2 linked regions of the Drosophila melanogaster genome follow. Changing the gene in region 1 together with any one later gene gives a genetic interaction. Each region holds a gene or a part of one and is shown on either strand. Other genes may lie near its edges.

Region 1 (11,288 bases):
TGACTCTGGGGTCAGATCGAAACGCTTTATACTATACTATATATCAGTATGTATCTCAAGTGATTGCCCACAATATTGATAATACTCTGGAAGTCACTTCAACTGAACAAACCGACCAATAAGATAAGATACTCGTTATGGTTGGTTCGATCTGTTACAAAATCAATTTTCAGAAGAGAGTACTTTCAGGTAATCAATTATATGTTCTTTTGCTTAACAAACTACGACTTTTATTTTATCTAACATCTATATGGACAGAAACGATCGTAAGTGCAACCTAAGCAAATAACAGTCGCTTTTGGTACACAGTATTAAATAAACTAACAATTTATGGTCATAGATCGTAAATAACATCGATTAGATCGACTAACCACCGCAGAAGTGTTTCAGATATTTCTTGAATTTACGACCATGTCCACCGAAATGACTGTGAAAAACACAATAGATCCGTGGTGTGTACTACACGATTTTGATAAGATTATCAAGGGATTATAGTGACTGGTAAAATTGAACATTTATAGTAAATATTAAAAAAGGCACTAATCGCGAAACAGTTCGCCAAGTAATTATGTCATAAAAGTAATTGTTAACTACCCCAATTAAAGGCTACTAAAGGCTATTTGAAAATCCGTTAATTGCCCTAAAGCGAATGACTTGTTTCAAGTTCTCAAAATTCGAAAGAGAAACTTACGTTCTGTCCGGCGATATTTCCCAACCAATCGAACGTGACCGGTTCGCCAGCGGTCTGAACTAAAACTGAGAACGCTCGAGTAAGATTGTGCGAGTTTTATAGCCAAGAGCAGAGGAACTGCCCGAGAATCGGCCGGCAATAATGCACTGAGAAAAAATCGAATATGCATGCAATATGTTCATGGCTGATCTGGAAACACACTTGTTTGCTTTATTTTGTTCACTATTTCCCTAAACCCAATTTGTTCTGATATTGAAATCTCTGGAGACATACGAGCAAACGATAATGAAATATAAATATATTTAAACTATAAAAAATAAGTAATAAGCTATGAATCATATAAAACTTCTCGGCATTTTTTTTAGAGTGACTTGGGCTATCTGCCCCTCGACGTGCCCAACGCTAATCGAGTGACCAAACGACTTAATGTCGCCGAGAGAAATGGTCGATAAACTCGAGCATTATTTATTTTTAATGCGAGATCGGCTTAGTCGCGTCTGATGTTTCCAATCCGTCTGGGGTTCTCGGCCAGGTAGGCGCGAAGATAAGCCGATGTTTGGAAGATCATTAATATGCCTGACACATTTCCTCACATTTGGCAAATATTATTGAAGACGCAACGAAAAAAAGACTAAGTCAATAAAAGGTGATAAAACTTGTGATGAAAATAAACTAATGGGCACTTATCTCCCTTTGGGTACAGAAAAAAACATAAGTTGGTGGCCATTGCTCCTTTCACACATTTTATTTATTTGCTAAATATTGCATTTTTTACTTTTTTATTTCTTTCGTTTATATGTGACCCAAATAAAGCACCAAAATTCAAGCAAGAGAATTAATATTGTCAATATTTAAGTATAAGAGGAATTAATTTTGATTCTATTTTATTGCCATTGTAAATTACAGACAAAACTTATACCCTTTTTACATTCGAAATGTAAAATGTCGAGTAATTCGAATAACCCGCCGATGAGACAACAATCGATACCTACAGCGATACCGACAGCGAGTTTTCCAGCACTGAAAAGACTGAGGCGAAACAGCTCTGCATGATGCTATTTAGGCATTGAAATCAACAAATTTACACTAAATGCGACCAATTTTACCTAACACATTCCACATATTGTTGCCTGCTATTTAGCAGCCATTGTTCCAGCCCTTCTGAATTACCCGCCAAAGAAAAAAATCGAACATTGCATGAGCATTGCGGACTGCGCAGTCTGACCGTGCATGCGCCATCTTGTTGTTTAACAAAGGAAGAGCGAAAACGTGAAATTTGCAGAACGACACACCAAACAGAGCAACTAAATCCGCATAAAAGGTAATGCAAATCGCGCAGGTAAACAGTTGATGGACGTCATTTGATTCTACCTGAGCGCTGCTGGCAAAAGTGCATCCAAATAACGCAGCGCAGCAGCGCATCGCATAGTTTTTTTTCGCAATCGCAATTGCTGCAGTATCGAAAATACCAGAGCAGAGAAAAGCAAAAAGGCAAAAGCAAAAAGTATCTGTGTGTGTGTTCAATTGATTATTCAATAAAACGAAACTACGCAATGCGCATGTGTTTGTGTGCGTCACCAGTTGAAACAAAAACAATACAATAACAACAATAAAGTACGCTATTTTATTTCGAAAAACAATTCGTCAGCAGAAAAACGAAAGTCAAGGAACAGCTGGAACATTCAACTATCTAGTGGGTGTTTACTGTATCTCCTCAGTTGGCAGCTGTGTTTACTGTAGCTTTTCAGAACTCTCATATGATATGCTTGGTAATTTGTATGTTTCAGTACCTCGAACAATGGAGGTGACATTCAGCTCGGGCGGATCATCGAACGCCTCCAGCGAGTGCGCCATAGACGGCGGCACGAATCGCTGTCGCGGCTTGGAGCCCAACAATGGAACCTGCATCCTCAGCCAGGAGGTAAAGGATCTTTACAGGTAAGGTGTTAAAGTGAGTGTTACAGGTGGATTACTATAAATCGCATCAAATCGTCCATACAGATCCCTCTACACCGCCTCCAAGCAACTGGACGATGCCAAGAGGAATGTGCAGTCGGTGGGACAGCTGTTCCAGCACGAAATCGAAGAGAAACGCTCGCTCCTAGTGCAGCTGTGCAAGCAGATCATCTTCAAGGACTACCAGTCGGTGGGCAAGAAGGTGCGCGAGGTGATGTGGCGACGTGGATACTACGAGTTCATTGCCTTCGTGAAGAAGAACTGGCACAAGCAGTGCCAGGATGCGGCCACGGCCCAAGAGAACATGCAAAAGCTGGAGCGATTCCTCTGCGCTGGCATCTTCAACTACAAACGATTGTCGGCACGCATGGAAGAGATCTATGATCTGGATCTAAAGTATTTGATTGATTTCTCCATAATCAGTGATGGCTACATAAGCGACATGATCGGAGACACCATGGAGTCATCGCACTCGGGCACCCACGCGGTGGACAAGAGTCTGGAGGCCGTGTCCTTTGCACTCGACACCATACACTCATCGCTGCTCAGTCTGGGCGATCTTCATCGCTACTTTCTAGACTTTCGCATCGACAGCAAACTAAGCATAAGCAAGGAGCAGGTGGCCAAGTATTATCTGGAGGCCTTCAAGCTTAATCCGGCCATTGGCATGGCCCAGAACCAGTTGGGTACACTGCACTACGGACAGAATCATGACCTGGACTCCACTTACCACTACTTGTACTCCCTTGTGTGCATCATACCATTCGAACTAAGCGAAAATAATCTTAACAAGCTGTTCGCCAAGCACACCGAATACCTAGAGCGTATGGATCCAGAAAAACTAGACTTCAACATCGAGGACTTCTTTGCCCGTTTCTATCTGATTGTGGACATATTTTTCTTCGACAAGGAAGTGCCGGACTTTAACGCTCTGTGCCACTGTGTGCTGATTGATCTACGCAAGATCCTGTGCTCCCAGCAGCTGCGCGTTCCGGAGCCAAGCATCTTCAAGATTGTCTCCATTCTGTTCTTCTGTCTGTCCAAGCTTAAGATGATCAACTCACCAAAGGTTTACTCGCTGCACGCCTTTCTGGTTGCTGCCTGTTCCGATCTGATGGACGCCTGCATCGTCAGCATCGAGCAGACAATCCTGGCTCGCGCCCAAGACAACGAGCGCTTCCAGGCGGAGTACGAGGAACGCTTTCAGGAGTTCGATACTGTGGTGCGCAAGTCCCGGAATGAGTACAAGAACTGGCTAGCTGCAGTAGGCGAATGTGAGCGCAAGGACAAGAAGTTGATGCCACGCCCGCACTCTCTAAAGGATTGCAGTTCGGATTCGCGGGACAGCCAGCACTCTGGCGAGGAGGCAAAGACCCAGGAGGCTGCTGACGGCGACAAGATCGGTGAGGCCGTTTCCACGCGCTCCAGTGACGAGGCCAAGGAGTCCGACCTTAAGACCCCGCTCTCCTGCAAGAGCAAGCGACGGGGAATGCGTCTACGCCGCCGACGCCGCAAGATCGCCCAGTCGGACGACAGCTCCTGCTATGACAGCGAAAGCGAACTGGACACAGACTTTTACAGCGACGAGGAGGATTACACAGATCTAAGTTCTAACTTTGACACCGATTTCAGCGACATTGATGCAGCTGATCCTGGGGAGCCATGCGGCGAAGAGCGCTATGCAGCAGGTGAGTCTTTGAAACCCAATTTCCATCTAAGCAAAAGGCTTAAGTTGGAAAACCTTTTTACACTTTTTTCTAAAATCTTACAAATCCTAACAGCTAATTACAGCAAAAAGGAGCGCAAAGCTGGCGGCGGCGGCGGAGGAGGAGTCGGTGGCGTGGTGTACTCCGACAACGAAGACGTTGTTATTGAGGAGGAGAAAATCGTGTATCCCAACGAAGTAGAGCGCAGATCCAACTCACAGGAGGCGGACTCTGAGGAGTTGCTGCGCAGCTTTGAGGTACTGCAGCTGAACTTTAAGAGCGCAGAGGATGCTCAAAGCAAGCCGGTGGCACCTCCGCCCGTCAGCTTTTCAGAGCCACCAAAGAAGCTGGTTTATCGCAACAAGTACACCAAGATCAATCCCAACATAGTCATTGACTGTCTGCACAATGAACCGACCATTAGAGCCCTGAAAATGCTTTTTGACTGGCTGCGAATCAACCCAGAGATTCTCATCGGCTGCTACCACTCGAATCCGGAGTTTGTGCACAAGATCATGAAGCTTCTCAACTACTGCAACATCGACATCTTCACCAGGAAGGTTTACTTCGAGCGCGACCTTCTGACCACTGCCAACGTGCGTGATTCTCTGGTCGAGTTATTCGATGTGCGCGCCAACGTTCCGCTCACCGAGGACTTTGCTTTCAAGAACTTTGACATCTTCCAGAGCACCCAGATTACACTGGACTGGGAGACCATTATCCGGGAGCGTGTCACTCCCCAGGAAGAGTCCATTCTCCGTATTTTCAAAATGGTCGACTTTGGCTTTTTCATTTGCAAGCAGAAGAAGTTTAACTACAGATTCTGCGTCAAGACGCGTCGTTTCACCGAGACCCAAAAGAAGAAACAGCGCGAGGAGAAGAAGGGAGGCGGATCACGTCGCCGCGAGCGTCGTACCGCTCCGAAGACCAACCGAACAAAGCGGAACGAAGGACGCACACGTCGCTACTCCGATCGCAAGAACGGCATCGTCCGCAAGAGCTACACCAGTAACGAGGAAAAGGACACCGTGGAGGAGTGCCGCAAGATGCCACGCAAGGGTTACCTAAGGAATCGCAATGCCGAGAAGGCGGCTGCTGTTATAACCAGTGCCACGGGAACCTCTGTCGCCGGCGGAACCTCCGCCTCCACAACCACAAACAGTGTCATCGAGAAACTGAATTTGCAGTCCAGCTCGGGGGCCGACGAAGAGCGCTCGGAGGCCAAGTCGAAGAAGTGTGAGCTCATGGGCAAGCTGTGGCTGCAAAACGAGGTGGAGACTTTGGAGGAGGAGCTGCGGGACAGTCCCGCTCATGTGGTGATGTCCCCATTTGTGGTGGTCGATTCGAAGGCATTGACCGAATACAATGGCATAGTCAAGTCGCTGGTGAGGACCAAGAAGTGCATTGTCCTCATTCCAAATGCAGGTGAGTGCGCATACCTCCGCGTGGGTTGATAACAAAGTGGAAAGTAACAATGACATAGAATGACGACTTTAGAACTTCAAAATTTAAATAATCTATACAATCTCATATCAACAAGCTTATTACTTTGTGGTATTCCCTGAAATCCAGTGAGCTTTTATAGTAGAACAGATTAGATTCTTAACACTTCTGATATGACGGTAGCTCATTTGATTTGCCTGTTGTTTTCTTTCCAATTGTTTTTATAGTAAAGTGTATTTACAATTAAGAATGTACTTAACCTGTACCCAAGGAGAAAGACCCCATGCTAATCTATTATCATTTCTCATTTAGTGCTCAATGAGTTGGATGACTTGAAGAAACGCAGCGAGAATGTGCGCCATGTCATCCGTTGGCTGGAGCAGGAGTTTAAACAGGGCAATAGGCACTTGCGTGCCCAGCGCGATAACGAAAGTCAGCCGCTATCCCTGCTGAAGATATCACGCAAGATGGGTGAGTTTAGCAAATATTTATCGCACGAGAATTAGCCAGCTAATGGTGTTGTGTTGTTTTTTTTTATTGCTACTTATAGATCGTGACGCCTCAGTTTTCCTTCAAATTGCCCAGTTCTGCAATCACTTGGTGGCCAACCATGCCGATCCGCACGTCAGCGAACTGCAGAAGAGCGTCGTCACGTACTTGTCCGGCGATAATTTGCACGAGAAGAACCGCCAGCAACAGAACTTCAGCTACACCGGCATCCTTGACTCGATACCCGTACGCTATGCCCAAATCCAGAGCTTCTACGCAAAATTTAAGGCCAACAAAAAATGAACGGGCCCAAGTGGAGCGGCAACGGTAGCGGGCGCTAAGGCGGCAAAGGCAACTGCAGACCAAATGCAATGCGAGCTAAAAAGGGTGCGAGCGTGTTCTCTCTGTACAACCACAAATCGACATGGAGTTCCAAAGTTAACGATGGCCGTGGACGACGGCAAAACCAAACCAGCAATCGCTGCTGCAGCTTCGGTTGTGGCCGTGTTTTCCCCAAAAAAAAACTGAAACTGAAACTGTTACCATCAGCCGGAGCAAGATTCCGCCAGCCTAGCCTGTGCAGCAGCAGCATTGCGAATTTGCTTGTTGTGTTTAGACCAAACTAAAACAAAATACCAATCAAAATCGTTCACTTTCAACTCGATGGCTACAATGATGACGACCTCCCAGCAAATGTTAAGTGGACAATGGCAAACGCACAATCATCAACAAAAATTCTTAAGAGAAAAAAATCGTAAAAAAAAAATATCAATCAATCGAACAACTTTTCAAGATAACGACAGGCATGACCTGAGCGGTTCACGGACAGAAGATCTTCGTGGAACAGTTGGGAGAGCGGAATGACGGCGACCAGGACGGATCGACCTTCTAATCGGTTATTTGCTTGATGTACCATGTCGTATTCAAGATTTCGCATTTCCTGTGTCGGGCTGGACTATGGATCCAAAAACTCTTGATCTTTCCTGCAGTTGTGTTTCGTTCTCGGTTTTGCAGACAGAGTTTATTTAAATTTTCACGCTTCTGACTAGGCAATCCGCGTGATCCTCTTCGCAAGAACAAAGTATATGGTATACATATATATATATATAAAACTTACATTTTAATGCAGTCCCTAAAAACTCTCTCTTGTGGTTCACCAATGCAATTTCCCATTACAAAATAAAGGAAAGTGCCGCACATATGTCAACAAAATTCTACGTCATTCTAAATGTTTCCAAAATTGAAAGTTATGTTACATTTTGTTTGAATAATAAAGCGCCCAACCACAAAAAAATGTTGTTTTATTATGGTTTTCATTAAAACAGCTTTTGGTTGACATATCAGAACTGGAAAAACAGGACATTTAATGGTATATACTCTTCACTTTCCTCGTGAAATCAAACACACAGTTTAAAATGTTTAATAGATTTTTATTGAAGGGGTTTTTTTCTTTTGTGGTTTTTGTGTGCTACTTTTCCTTCCAATTAGATTGAGTTTGTCACGTTTTGTGGTTTGTAATTCGTACAAATAGCGTACACAATACATAGGGGTGTATACATATAGTAATATTTAGATTGATTTATAACTATTTTGTATAATAGTTTTGAAATACTTTCAATTAAATTTTTGTCTACCCAGATTCCGTCATACAATCAGAATCCAATTTTTTCCGCAGTATAATATCTAAAACGAGTTATTTCTGTTTGGAATTTATATAGCAAAGAATTTTGTGATTTTGGTTCTGCATAAGCTACATTTTGGGCGTGTTCATTTGTTTAAACCGATTATCAAGCAATTTCAACTATGTATGTATATAATGTATATATATATATATGTTCGTGTATATTGTTTAGCATAAGTTTGTTTTTGGCTTTAATCTTAGATTCATTTCGTTTATACGTATATTTTGCATCAGCTTTTATCTATTGTTTAGGTTGTATAAGTATGTTTTTTGTTACGTGAAGTCTTTTGCAATCTGCTGATGGTTGTCGAAAGTTACAATAGCTACTAAATAATTGTTTTGCAAACGATTTAAAAACCTGCACACTATAAAAAAAAAACAATAATAATAGTTTCACGTAATACGAAAATAATAAATTATACACTTGAGATTACAACAAGGCTGTACAGGTTTCCATGTCTTAAGAACTAAACAAACTAAAAGAAAACATAAATAAAACTTGTGAATTTCCATTCAACACTTGCCAAATAATAATAATATTAAACATTTGCACAACATTCCTAAAACCTAAACACTAAACGCTATACATTTTTTACGCTCGAATTTAAACTAAGTCCGTCATGAACAACAAAAACTAATGAATTGTACAACTGTTATGAAAATTCACGCTTATCTTATTTCAATTTTAACTAATTCAGATCACACCCGACACCGACTTCTCGTACGGAGTGCCTAACGTGTCACGTCTCCTAGGCAAAGTGCCACTGGCCGTCAGAGGAGCCGCCTCTGGACAGCCCAGTCCCTCGAGCAGCTCCACCAGCGCCGTCGTGTCCTCGACATTGTATTGGGGAGCAGGAATGCCACCGTTTGTGGGCGGAGCAGGAGCCGGAATCGTTGTGCCCGCCTGCGCAGCTGCAGCGGCTTTGATCGACTTGGCGGTGGCCAGGGATTGTGCCGCTCGAGCGTAGGCCAGGCAGGTGCGACCCTCATGATCCGTGTGCTTAATGTTTGCGCCATTCTGGAAGGAGCAATACGTACGTATTAACAACTGATTCACTTGATTTGGTCTCCAGTTAACTTACCCATATGAGCAGCTGTGCTATGGCCAGATTGCCTATGGCACAGGCAAGCAGCAGCGGAGTTCGCACATCTCTTGCGCTGACATTCGCATTGGTCACCTCGGACGGACAATTGGCCAAGATCGAAACGATCGACTTGATGTCCGCCCTGATCACAGCCTCGATCAACTGCTGACCCGGACTTGGGCTTGGATGCGCTGAGGATCCGTTGCCCAGTGGCGTCAGGAACTCCTTGGCCTCGTACTTGCTGCGCACCCATCGCTCTTTGTCCTCGCGACTGGCCTGCGAAGTGGGCTTGACCCGCTGCCGCGTGTTCGACTCCCAAACCGAGTTGGCCAGACTGTTGCCAATGGCCAGCATCACACTGAGATGCGGGGATCTGGTGGAGTAAAAAATTATATGTTAGAATAATGATAAGCAGGCAAATTAAAAATAAACTTACGGCCAGTCATCCAGGCCCAGAGAGCGAACCTTGGATATGTGCGAGCCAAGATTGCGATGCACGCCCGAGCACTCGATGCACATGAGTACGCCCAAGTTTAAGCTAGCCCATTCAGGATCTGGAAGGAGTAAAGCAGAAGGATTAGTAAATGTACAACGCACCCGATTTAAAGTTAAACTCACTTGGCGCTCCACAGTCGACGCAGAAGCCGTTGCCAGGAACCCGCTGACGGATGGCCAGCATGGCAGCGAGATCAGTGCTGGTGGCCTGTTTGGTCTTGCTGCTCTCGATGCTCTGCAGGCTCTTGAAGATCTCCTGCTCGACGGCCGCTACCCACTCGTCGCGCTCCTCGGAATTGGCAGCCTCAAAGTGCCACTGCTTGGAGTCCAGCGATACGATGTAGAATTCATAGCCATCGTTGTCGTCCGCCTCGTTCGCCTTGACACTGCTGCTCTTCATGCGGCGATGTCGCTTCTTCACGTTCGGCGTCTGGGCCTCCAGCTTATTTCCCGCATTGGCCACTTCTCCGGCGATAAAAGTCTGTGAATTTGAATTGGACATGGCTATGCCCTCGTCACCGCTCGTCTGCTGTGAGCTATTCGACTTCAAAGGCTCTCCACCGGCACCAGCTGCAATGGATCCGGCTCCGAGTAGGGATAATTTCTCGCTCAGCTTGCGCTGATTGTCCTTGGCCAGGGTGAGACAACCGATGCCATCGCTCAGAGTGTTCTGAGCTCTTTGGCCATTGGCCATCAGTGAACTGGTGAGCGCACTGTTCGTGATTATGCTCTTGGAGCCACGAGGTTTCTGTCCCGGCACCTTTACGGTGACGTACTGCAGCGGAATCTCCTTGCCGTGCACATCGTCCATATAGTCGTGCAAAGAGGGATGATAGGTAAGCCTGCCGTCGTCGCACAGGGTCACATACTTCTTCTTCCACTCCTTGTTCAAGGATTTGCTAGAGCGTTTGTACAGGTAGCCCTGTTTAATGGGTATGGAACGTCCACTGCCCAGTTCACTGCTCTTTGGCTCCTTCTCCTTGTCGGCCTTCTTCGAAGAGGAGGGGATGAAGAGGTTCGAACGCCGCCGGCTCTTGCGGCTCGTCGTGGGCGTCGAGGTGGGTGTGGGCAGCTCCTTACCCGGTGGTGGCGCCAGATCACGTGGATCGCGCAACTGCACCTGGGAGCAATCACCCTGCAGCGAATTGGCCGCTCCGGGATTGTATTTGGTGATGTTGTTATTCTCGTTTATGGTGGAACTGCTGGCCGCTTGCAGCGACCAAAGTTTCTGCTCCGCCTGTGCGAAATCCGCACTCATTCGCAGTGGTAGCTGCTGCTGGCCACGTTGTCCATTGGTGGGCGCCTGGTAGGGAGCCAATCCCAGGCGATTGCCCTGCGGAGTCGTGGGTCTCGCCGGTTGCACCTGTGGTGGCAAAGGCAGGCGCTGCGAGAGGATCTTTTGACAGGCTGAAAAGGATTAAATTACATTTGATTACTCGTCTGTGATTATGCTATTTGAGTTCGGGCTACTTACCATCCTGAAAGACACGCTCCACATTCAGGCCGTAGGTGGCGCAGGTCTCGTAGTAGGAGCAACGCTTCAGATCGCTGGCCAATTTCCTGGCACGGGTGTCGTCAATCACGCGAGGATTGCGCTCGCTGATGGCGTCTATATAGATAATATTAATAAATAATGTAATAATGAGTTATATAAGAAACGAAAATGTTTATATTCTTATTATAGGCTATTTACCTTGCGTTCCGACCAATATCATGGGTATTTCCTGGCCATTACGAAAATG
Region 2 (7,386 bases), on another chromosome or scaffold:
TCTTTGTAAATAAATAAAAATCGAAGTATCTGTAAACATATACATTGAAATTACCTGAGCTCTAGTAACAACTCTTTAAAAAGTAGAGAACCTTACAATTGGAATATATAACGAAATACACACATTTTGCGGAAATGTTATGGCTTTCTTTCAGTTTCAGCTTTGTTTGCCCTCCTTTTTTTTTAATTTCACCAGGTTCTCAAAACAAGTTTACCATCGTGCAAAGAATTCAGCCCTGCAAGTGATGTACATCTGCCCACCAGCGAGCAGCTGAATCATTTCGCCATTATTCGAAAGGCGCTGCCAAATGTTTCGCAATATTATTTAATGCGAGACAAGACCTAATTATTTGGAAAGAACGTTGCTCGCTCAGATAACCGAAACTCCCTTGCCAAAAGCCCCACGATAAATAAGAGAATACATTATGGTATCTGGTTTGGAGTGGGAAAAACCACGCATCGAAAAAATAAACTGCACTGCATTGGGGGTTTTTCGCAGAGAACTCTTTTGGAAACTGGGTTTTCCCTGCAGCCAATCGCAGCCAAATGGGAAATCCCCCAGCATAGCCGCACTGCATACAAAATTGCACCTTGGAGACCTCCACGCCGGCGCGAGATATCTCGTTTTCCAGCGTGATGCTGGTGCACGTGAGGATTCGGGCGGCATTCATCGGCCATTCATGGTGGCTTGGTGACCGGTTGCAGGTACTCAGACTTGCGGACTTTGGACCGGCCTAAAATGGAATGCCGATAGCCGAATGCCGAATGTGGGGGAACTCTTCAAAAACCAGTTCCCACTCTCTTTTGACTCTTTGACTCATTTGGCTCTTCGCTTGGCATTTGGGTTTCGGTTTGGGTTTGGGCCCAGTTTAGTGCTGCGCCGGCGTGACTCAGCAGTGGGGCAACCGCCGGCGAAGTGCCTCCGATCCATGCCCGATCACTCCGTGGGCTCCACGATTCTCCCTCGAAATAAGCCAGCAATGAAATCCATCCAATGTGGTGGCTTCACATGTGATGGGCGCATGTTGCACACACAACTGGGTGGCATGGCACACAAAAGCAACGGGCAGAGGTGCCATTGAAGTCCCACGCAAAAGGCTAAAAATATCTGAATTCCTTGGGTTCGATTGTGACGTGCGGATCAAGCTGGATGAAGAACCAAAACTTCTAATCCGCACGTTCGCCGCAGCAATAGAAAATGCTGTAGTGGTGCCCTTTATGCACTTGTGACAACTCGAATTCCGCGCTGGAATGACAAGGCAATAGTTTTATTTTCTGTCACTGCAAATGCGTATTTAAGTAATAGATATGCATATTTGTTATAAAACAAGCTAAAATGGTACTCACTAGTATGATTATCTTGAAAAATATCACATGGGGTTAGAAACGGTAAAATAAGCAATTTTTAAGTACTACGATTAGTATAATTTGCGTATATGCGTATAATTTTTATGAATGGGTCAATTATTAAGCATAACAAATATAAAATATGCTTTTTATAATGATATTTTCATAATTACAAGTATTGGGCGAACAGATGACCAATGATGTCTGTCCGGTTTTAGCTAGAAAACCCCCAAAATGCCACTGCATTTCCGCGGTTCATTGGCCACTTTCGAGGCGAATTTGGCGCGCAAATTCGTAGCTGAGTCGGCGATTTCCAACTTTCAGCACTTCCGCGGCTGATCCACTTACTACAGGTATGCCCCTCATAAGCACGACAGTTGTTTATGTTTTCGGGTCTAAATACATGCATAGGTCAGTAATTCGAATCACCCTACTCTTAATCATAGTAGTATGTTATTGAAAGACCAGAAGCTTCTTCAAATTGCATGCACATATATATGTACATATTTACATACATATGTTATTGTTATGATCATGGGCTGACTATCAGCTTGGTTGGGTTGAGTTAAACATATCACCTGCCCAGATGCACAGATGAAAACAAGTGATCTTAACCTAAATATAACCCTTCTTATTTTGCCTTCTTTAGGGTTGTATACTTTTCATAGCTTTTTACTTTTTTTGTCGTAAATCTTGCTGAATTACATGCTGCAGCTGCCCAGGAATTGTTTTCAATTCTACGCTGCACGCTCAGCAGTTTGTTCAACTCCAAAAAACCAAAACACATGTATGTATGTATGTACATACATATGTAGGCATCGATTTTCAGGTGCTATTTATAGCCTTAACAAAACCTGCGAACCTATGCTGATTCGGCGATTAAAGTAATAATTAATTACTAAAGTGCACGGCCAGCGGTAGTTGAACCCCTTAGGAGAAGCGAGCTGGAAATTCCGCCGGATGGCGTAGTTCTCGGGTTCAATTGATAAAACTCAGTGGCGATCTCGACTGGCGATTCCGACACGTTCCCACGTGCCGAATGTGCAGCGCGGAGGGGGGGAATTTAAAATTGGAATGCCGCGATAAATTGATTAGCAACTCCCTTTGTGTTTGGACATGCGATTCTGTTTGTCCGGCCGTCTGGCCAAATGCAAAAAGAATAAGATCGTGCGAAGCCTGGCCAGAAATAAAATTCGGGTTAACTTGGGTAAGTAAGGTCATTCGTTAATCATACGCCTAGTATACGCGAGTTGCGCATACGTCGCGTTGGTCGCCGAGATGCGACACACTTGGACCTGTTGCTCGCCATCAGCCATCAGGTATTAGTGGTCCATTCACGGGGTTCTGGCGAAATGTATGTACTAAATTTAAGAAAACCGTTCAAGTGAAATTTATTTACGAATTTTTGTTCGAATTTTGATGAGCAAATTGCGATTTACTCAAAGCATGTTCGCACACGATTTTTTCGCGCGAAAGATAATGAAAGCGAAGCTCTTACTTAAGGGAGACACTTTCCCTGCCTTTGCGAGTGGGAGAGCCGAGTTTCCGGGGGAGCCAAGTTTCCTGACCCCATTTGGAGCGTCCAAAACTGCAGATTGCAGTTTGGGTGTGATGGAAAGAAACCCCCAATCTGCTAATTGCCGCGACATCAACGGAAATCTTTCGGATCCCAAAAAAAGTAATGAAAAAACCCGATTTGGCTGAAAGAGCGCAAGAGCGGGAGAGCGAGCCCCCCTAAAAAGCTCTCGCTCTCGCATTTCTGATGAAATTCAGTGGAATTCTCAGGCGGCGGAGAGCGCGGCTATAAAAGCGTTCGCTCGCCAACCGAAAGCATTCATTGTGAAATTGCCACTCAAAATTGAAACAGCGCGGACAAACGGTTGAAGAAACACAAAGCCCAGTGCGAAAAGAATTTCATAAGCAAAAGTTAATCGGGTGCTAAACAAAAACACTCGAAAGCAAAGCAAAGCATAGCAAAAGCAACAACAAACAGTGCCAGCTGAAAGTGCCCAAAAAGTGGAAGCCAACGGCTCGAAAATAACACAAAACCCAAAGCAAACGCACAACCAAACGGATAACACCCACAATATGGTCGTCGAGGAGAACTGCAGCATGCACCACCTGGAGCGCGAACTGGACCTGGAGCTAGAGATCGATATGGCCATGGAGTGTGCCCCCATCGGACGCACCATCAAGTCGGCCCTTCTAAGGGCCCAGAGCGAGGCGCGTGTGATCGTGGGCCTGTCCGCCGCCATCAACGTGCTCTCCAAGTCGCCGGAGGGATCCCTCTTCTGCCTGATGGCCCAGCCCAAGGACGGCGACTCTGCCACCCACATGCACGAGGTACTGCTGGAGGCCTTTTGCTACGAGAACGACATCTACGTGATCAAGGTGGACGACGCCACCAAGCTGAGCCGCATCCTCGGCCAGGACTCCGTCGAGTCGTGCTGCCTGGTCCAGAAGGTCTGGGCCGACGCCCCCGAGGAGCAGCTGACCAAGGCCGAGAACCAGCTAGTCGACTACTGCGAGGCCCACTGGGACGCCCCCCAGCAGCCCATTGTCCAGCTGCCGGCTGTGTAGGCGCGTGTGAGCGGGACAGCCAGATGTCACAGAATTGAATGGCCCCGCACAGTGGGCGCAAGCAAACTCTAATGGAAACCAGTTGCTGGGGGTTGATGGCCCCGAACGTCTTGGAGAGTTCCCGAGGGAATCCGACGTTTCGTGGCGCTGCCAGAAGCCCACCGGCACATGTACACCTACATAGGATATATAGAATACGACATATGTATATACCCTAACCTGCTGTATTCAGGAAGCAGGAGAGGGAGGAGGGGAGCAGAGATGGATAAGCCGGCGCCTTGGCGGATAATTGAAACTGAAAGGCGACCTTCGAGGCGGCAGTAACTGCAGCTGAGATACCCGCGGAAGTCGCGCACAGATACTCACGCACACAGCCAAGGAGCAGCATCACACACAAGCGCGTGACCAGCTGCCGAACCAACAAAACATATGTGCACATATGTACACAGAACCATACATAAATATAGCCAATTTGTTTCTGTATAATTTTCGCTTTAAGCGTCGCGCAAATTTACTGATAATGACAATTATTCTGTACGCCGTAAATTGTAAATTATACTTAAAAGGAGAGCAGCCAATTGCATGTATACCATTAAAGTTTTGTTATGTTAGCTTTTCCAAAAAAAAAACATCAGATGAAAGCACACAAAAAAATGTTATCTAACTTAAGCACAAAAAGAAAATTGAAAAAGGTTTGAAAAAAACTGATAAAAAATGAAAAATAAAAATCTTGTATAAAAACCAAACTTTCTTCGTCTTGTTTTTTGCCCATCCCTTTCAGCACTCTCTTCCAGCAATCCAAACTGACGTCAATGGGTACAAATCCCTTGGATTTGGATCGGGAGGCCGCCCGACTCATCAATCTTTGCATAACTGCCGGGGTTTCCCCATCGAGCGTGCCTTGCATATAGGGCCCCATCGGACGCCTTATCAATGAATTCTCGGAACCCAGTGGAATGGAAAACACGCGTGAGCGCCGAAATCGGGGCCATCCATCTGGGGGAGACTGGGAGAAGCCCTCGGCTCGAAGTATGCAGTTTTATCAACTTAGATAATGGGTGCGAGAATAGTCAGTTTGCCTAGTTAATTGTTCCCATCACTGATCAGTGGGAAAGTCAATTAGAAGTATGGGTCATGCTTATAGGGGGAAAAAAGTAAAGCACCGTGGAGCACTTGAGTTAATCAGAGTCAATGGGCGTTATAAAAATCGTACTGGGATATTTACGATCCAATGAACGAGACAATTTCATACGAGACCCACTTTGTTTCATTTGCGAACACGCTCGCGATCATGCCAATTGACTTGGCCAACCAGACAGATGTTGAGCATCGAGACACGTTAATGTAATCAATGCCAGACATCGCGCTATGTTGGCCTAATGGATGGATGGACCGGACAGCAGAGACAATAAATAGATAGCCCATCGCACGGAGGAGCTGCCATGCGAGCAGCTCGTGCCGTGGGAAAATCACTGGGAAGAGTTTGCCACTGATTAGGACCATTAGCATGGATCCATGTGGCCAAGACATAGGTCAGTTCGGCGGATCGTCTGGACACGACGCGATGCGATCGGGCGGAGATAATTTGGAACAGTTTAGCGCCTGTTCCAGTCAAATTTTCCGTCTTTCCGAAACAAGACTTTAAAATGTGGTTAGTTATGGCCTTAACGTGATAATCATAATCATCCTCTAGTAGAACTCTGTTTGGAGTAGCAATTCATTATGTATTGCCAAGTCATCGGTTAGCACAATTACATAATATTGAGCAACTTATTCGTTTTTTTCAGATCGATATACTTCAATTGCATACTTCGATATTTATTGTTCCACTTTAGAGAATATTGTTTGATTAGCTTGTCCATTGCACAATTGGATAACTGCATCGGTTCGAGGCGGTTTCAGATTGCCTATGCCCTTCTAATTATCACTTCTCCTATTGTCTCAGTGCATTTCAGCGACCTGGTGCGACATCCAATTGGGTTAATTGCCGGGTGTTCGGCAAAATCCAAGTGATCTGTTAGCGCTACTTACACAAGCCATCCCCACTTAATCATCGCCGCGTGTACTTTACCCCGATCCAGCGAAACGAGCGTGAATTCCAAAGAACGACCAGAGTGCTCAATGCCAATTCCGATTCGGCCAAGTCACTGCGAGTTGGGTAACGAGCCATGCGGCCATTGACTGGCCAATTGAAGCTTTGGCTTTGGCTTTGGCTTGGGGCCAAGCTTTCCCCGCCAGCTGGACAACTGGAAAAGGGGAAGTTTGGACCCGAGACCAGACTCATGCAAACATGATCATCTGCGAGCGTGACTTGGCGGATTCCCGGGGGCGGACGGAGTGCAAGCTTCAGAGATTCGCCTCTACCGGCGACGTCGTCGAAGGTATATATGATTCATATTGGTTTATAGCGGTGCTAGCCCCGCCAGCTGGAAATTAGCATAATTCTCAATGCGAATCAAAACGATTCGGAATGCCCCGCTCGATACTCGAACTCATACTCATATACTCACACTCGACTTACAACCTGTTGGCAAACTAGTTTCGGATTCGTGCGACAGGCCAAAGTTTCTGTTTCTGCCAACCTGCACATGTGATTGTCATGAGCGCGTGCTGAAGGCCCAGCGTGAAAACCCCTCCTCCTCCATCATCTTTTCTGGGTGGTGGTAAGCCGATGCAATGGTAGTATCTGGCCGGGATCAGGAACAAATATGTTGTCTTCGGGCGAATCGAAAACAAGGTGTTGTTATTATTAATTCGATTTACGCGTTAGCTGGCATTTAAGCGCGCGTTGAGCGACGCGGATTTCCCCGTAGGCGTGTAGCACCATGGTTATGCGGAATCACAGCCGCTTATCACTCTGTTTTGAGTTCCAGTCCGGCGGATTATGCGGCGTAGAATTATCAGCCGCGCCATACGCAGAACCAACTGCGCATGGAAGTGCGACGGATGGGCTGGGATAAAGGTACATTTGTACGTGGCATTTGGTGGCCAGACTCGGGAGTGGAAATCTCCGACACTCCACTGATAATTTAGCCAGAATTTCCACATTTTCGGGAGCCATTAAGCCAATCGGACCACATTTGTTTACTGCGTTTCACTTAACCGCAAAAGCATTGAACTTTTCCACCGCCAATCGATTAGATTGATTGCAGGGCGCGGAGGGAAGCCAGGGCTTGTCCGTCCGCTTATGAATGAATTTCGCAGTGAAAAACGGGTTTTCCAACGGGGGTTTTCAATTCTCAAATTGCTCGGGATATACCAGGCCAGCAAACAAACGTAAACTTTAACCGCTTTACACACTCGATTGTGATTATTGCACAATATTTCCCCCGGAGTCGCGCGGCGAATATTAAGCATGATTTCGCAAAATCTCGCTGAGTTCGCTGGGCTGCGCTGATAAGAAGGTCCAGATTGTGGCGCCCGCTTCGTGATTCTAACAGTTTTGAGTAACTGAACTTGC

Evidence for each region.
Region 2: of Smg5 (region 1) and Gadd45, changing one suppresses a phenotype caused by changing the other (phenotypic suppression), as found in Drosophila melanogaster (one study listed by BioGRID).

The regions. Positions count from the first base shown.
Region 1 is NT_033779.5:13,895,122-13,906,409, reverse strand, and holds Smg5 (Smg5 nonsense mediated mRNA decay factor), read left to right. Parts: upstream 1-1,933; 5' UTR 1,934-2,203; exon of another isoform or gene 2,204-2,305; intron 2,306-2,478; 5' UTR 2,479-2,489; coding exon 2,490-2,629; intron 2,630-2,692; coding exon 2,693-4,335; intron 4,336-4,428; coding exon 4,429-5,778; intron 5,779-6,108; coding exon 6,109-6,267; intron 6,268-6,346; coding exon 6,347-6,588; 3' UTR 6,589-7,582; downstream 7,583-11,288. Other genes in the region: CenG1A (centaurin gamma 1A), read right to left, coding at 8,661-8,984, 9,049-9,424, 9,488-9,605, 9,670-10,953, 11,021-11,155, 11,240-11,288.
Region 2 is NT_033778.4:7,245,987-7,253,372, forward strand, and holds Gadd45 (growth arrest and DNA damage-inducible 45), read left to right. Parts: upstream 1-3,174; 5' UTR 3,175-3,434; coding exon 3,435-3,926; 3' UTR 3,927-4,669; downstream 4,670-7,386.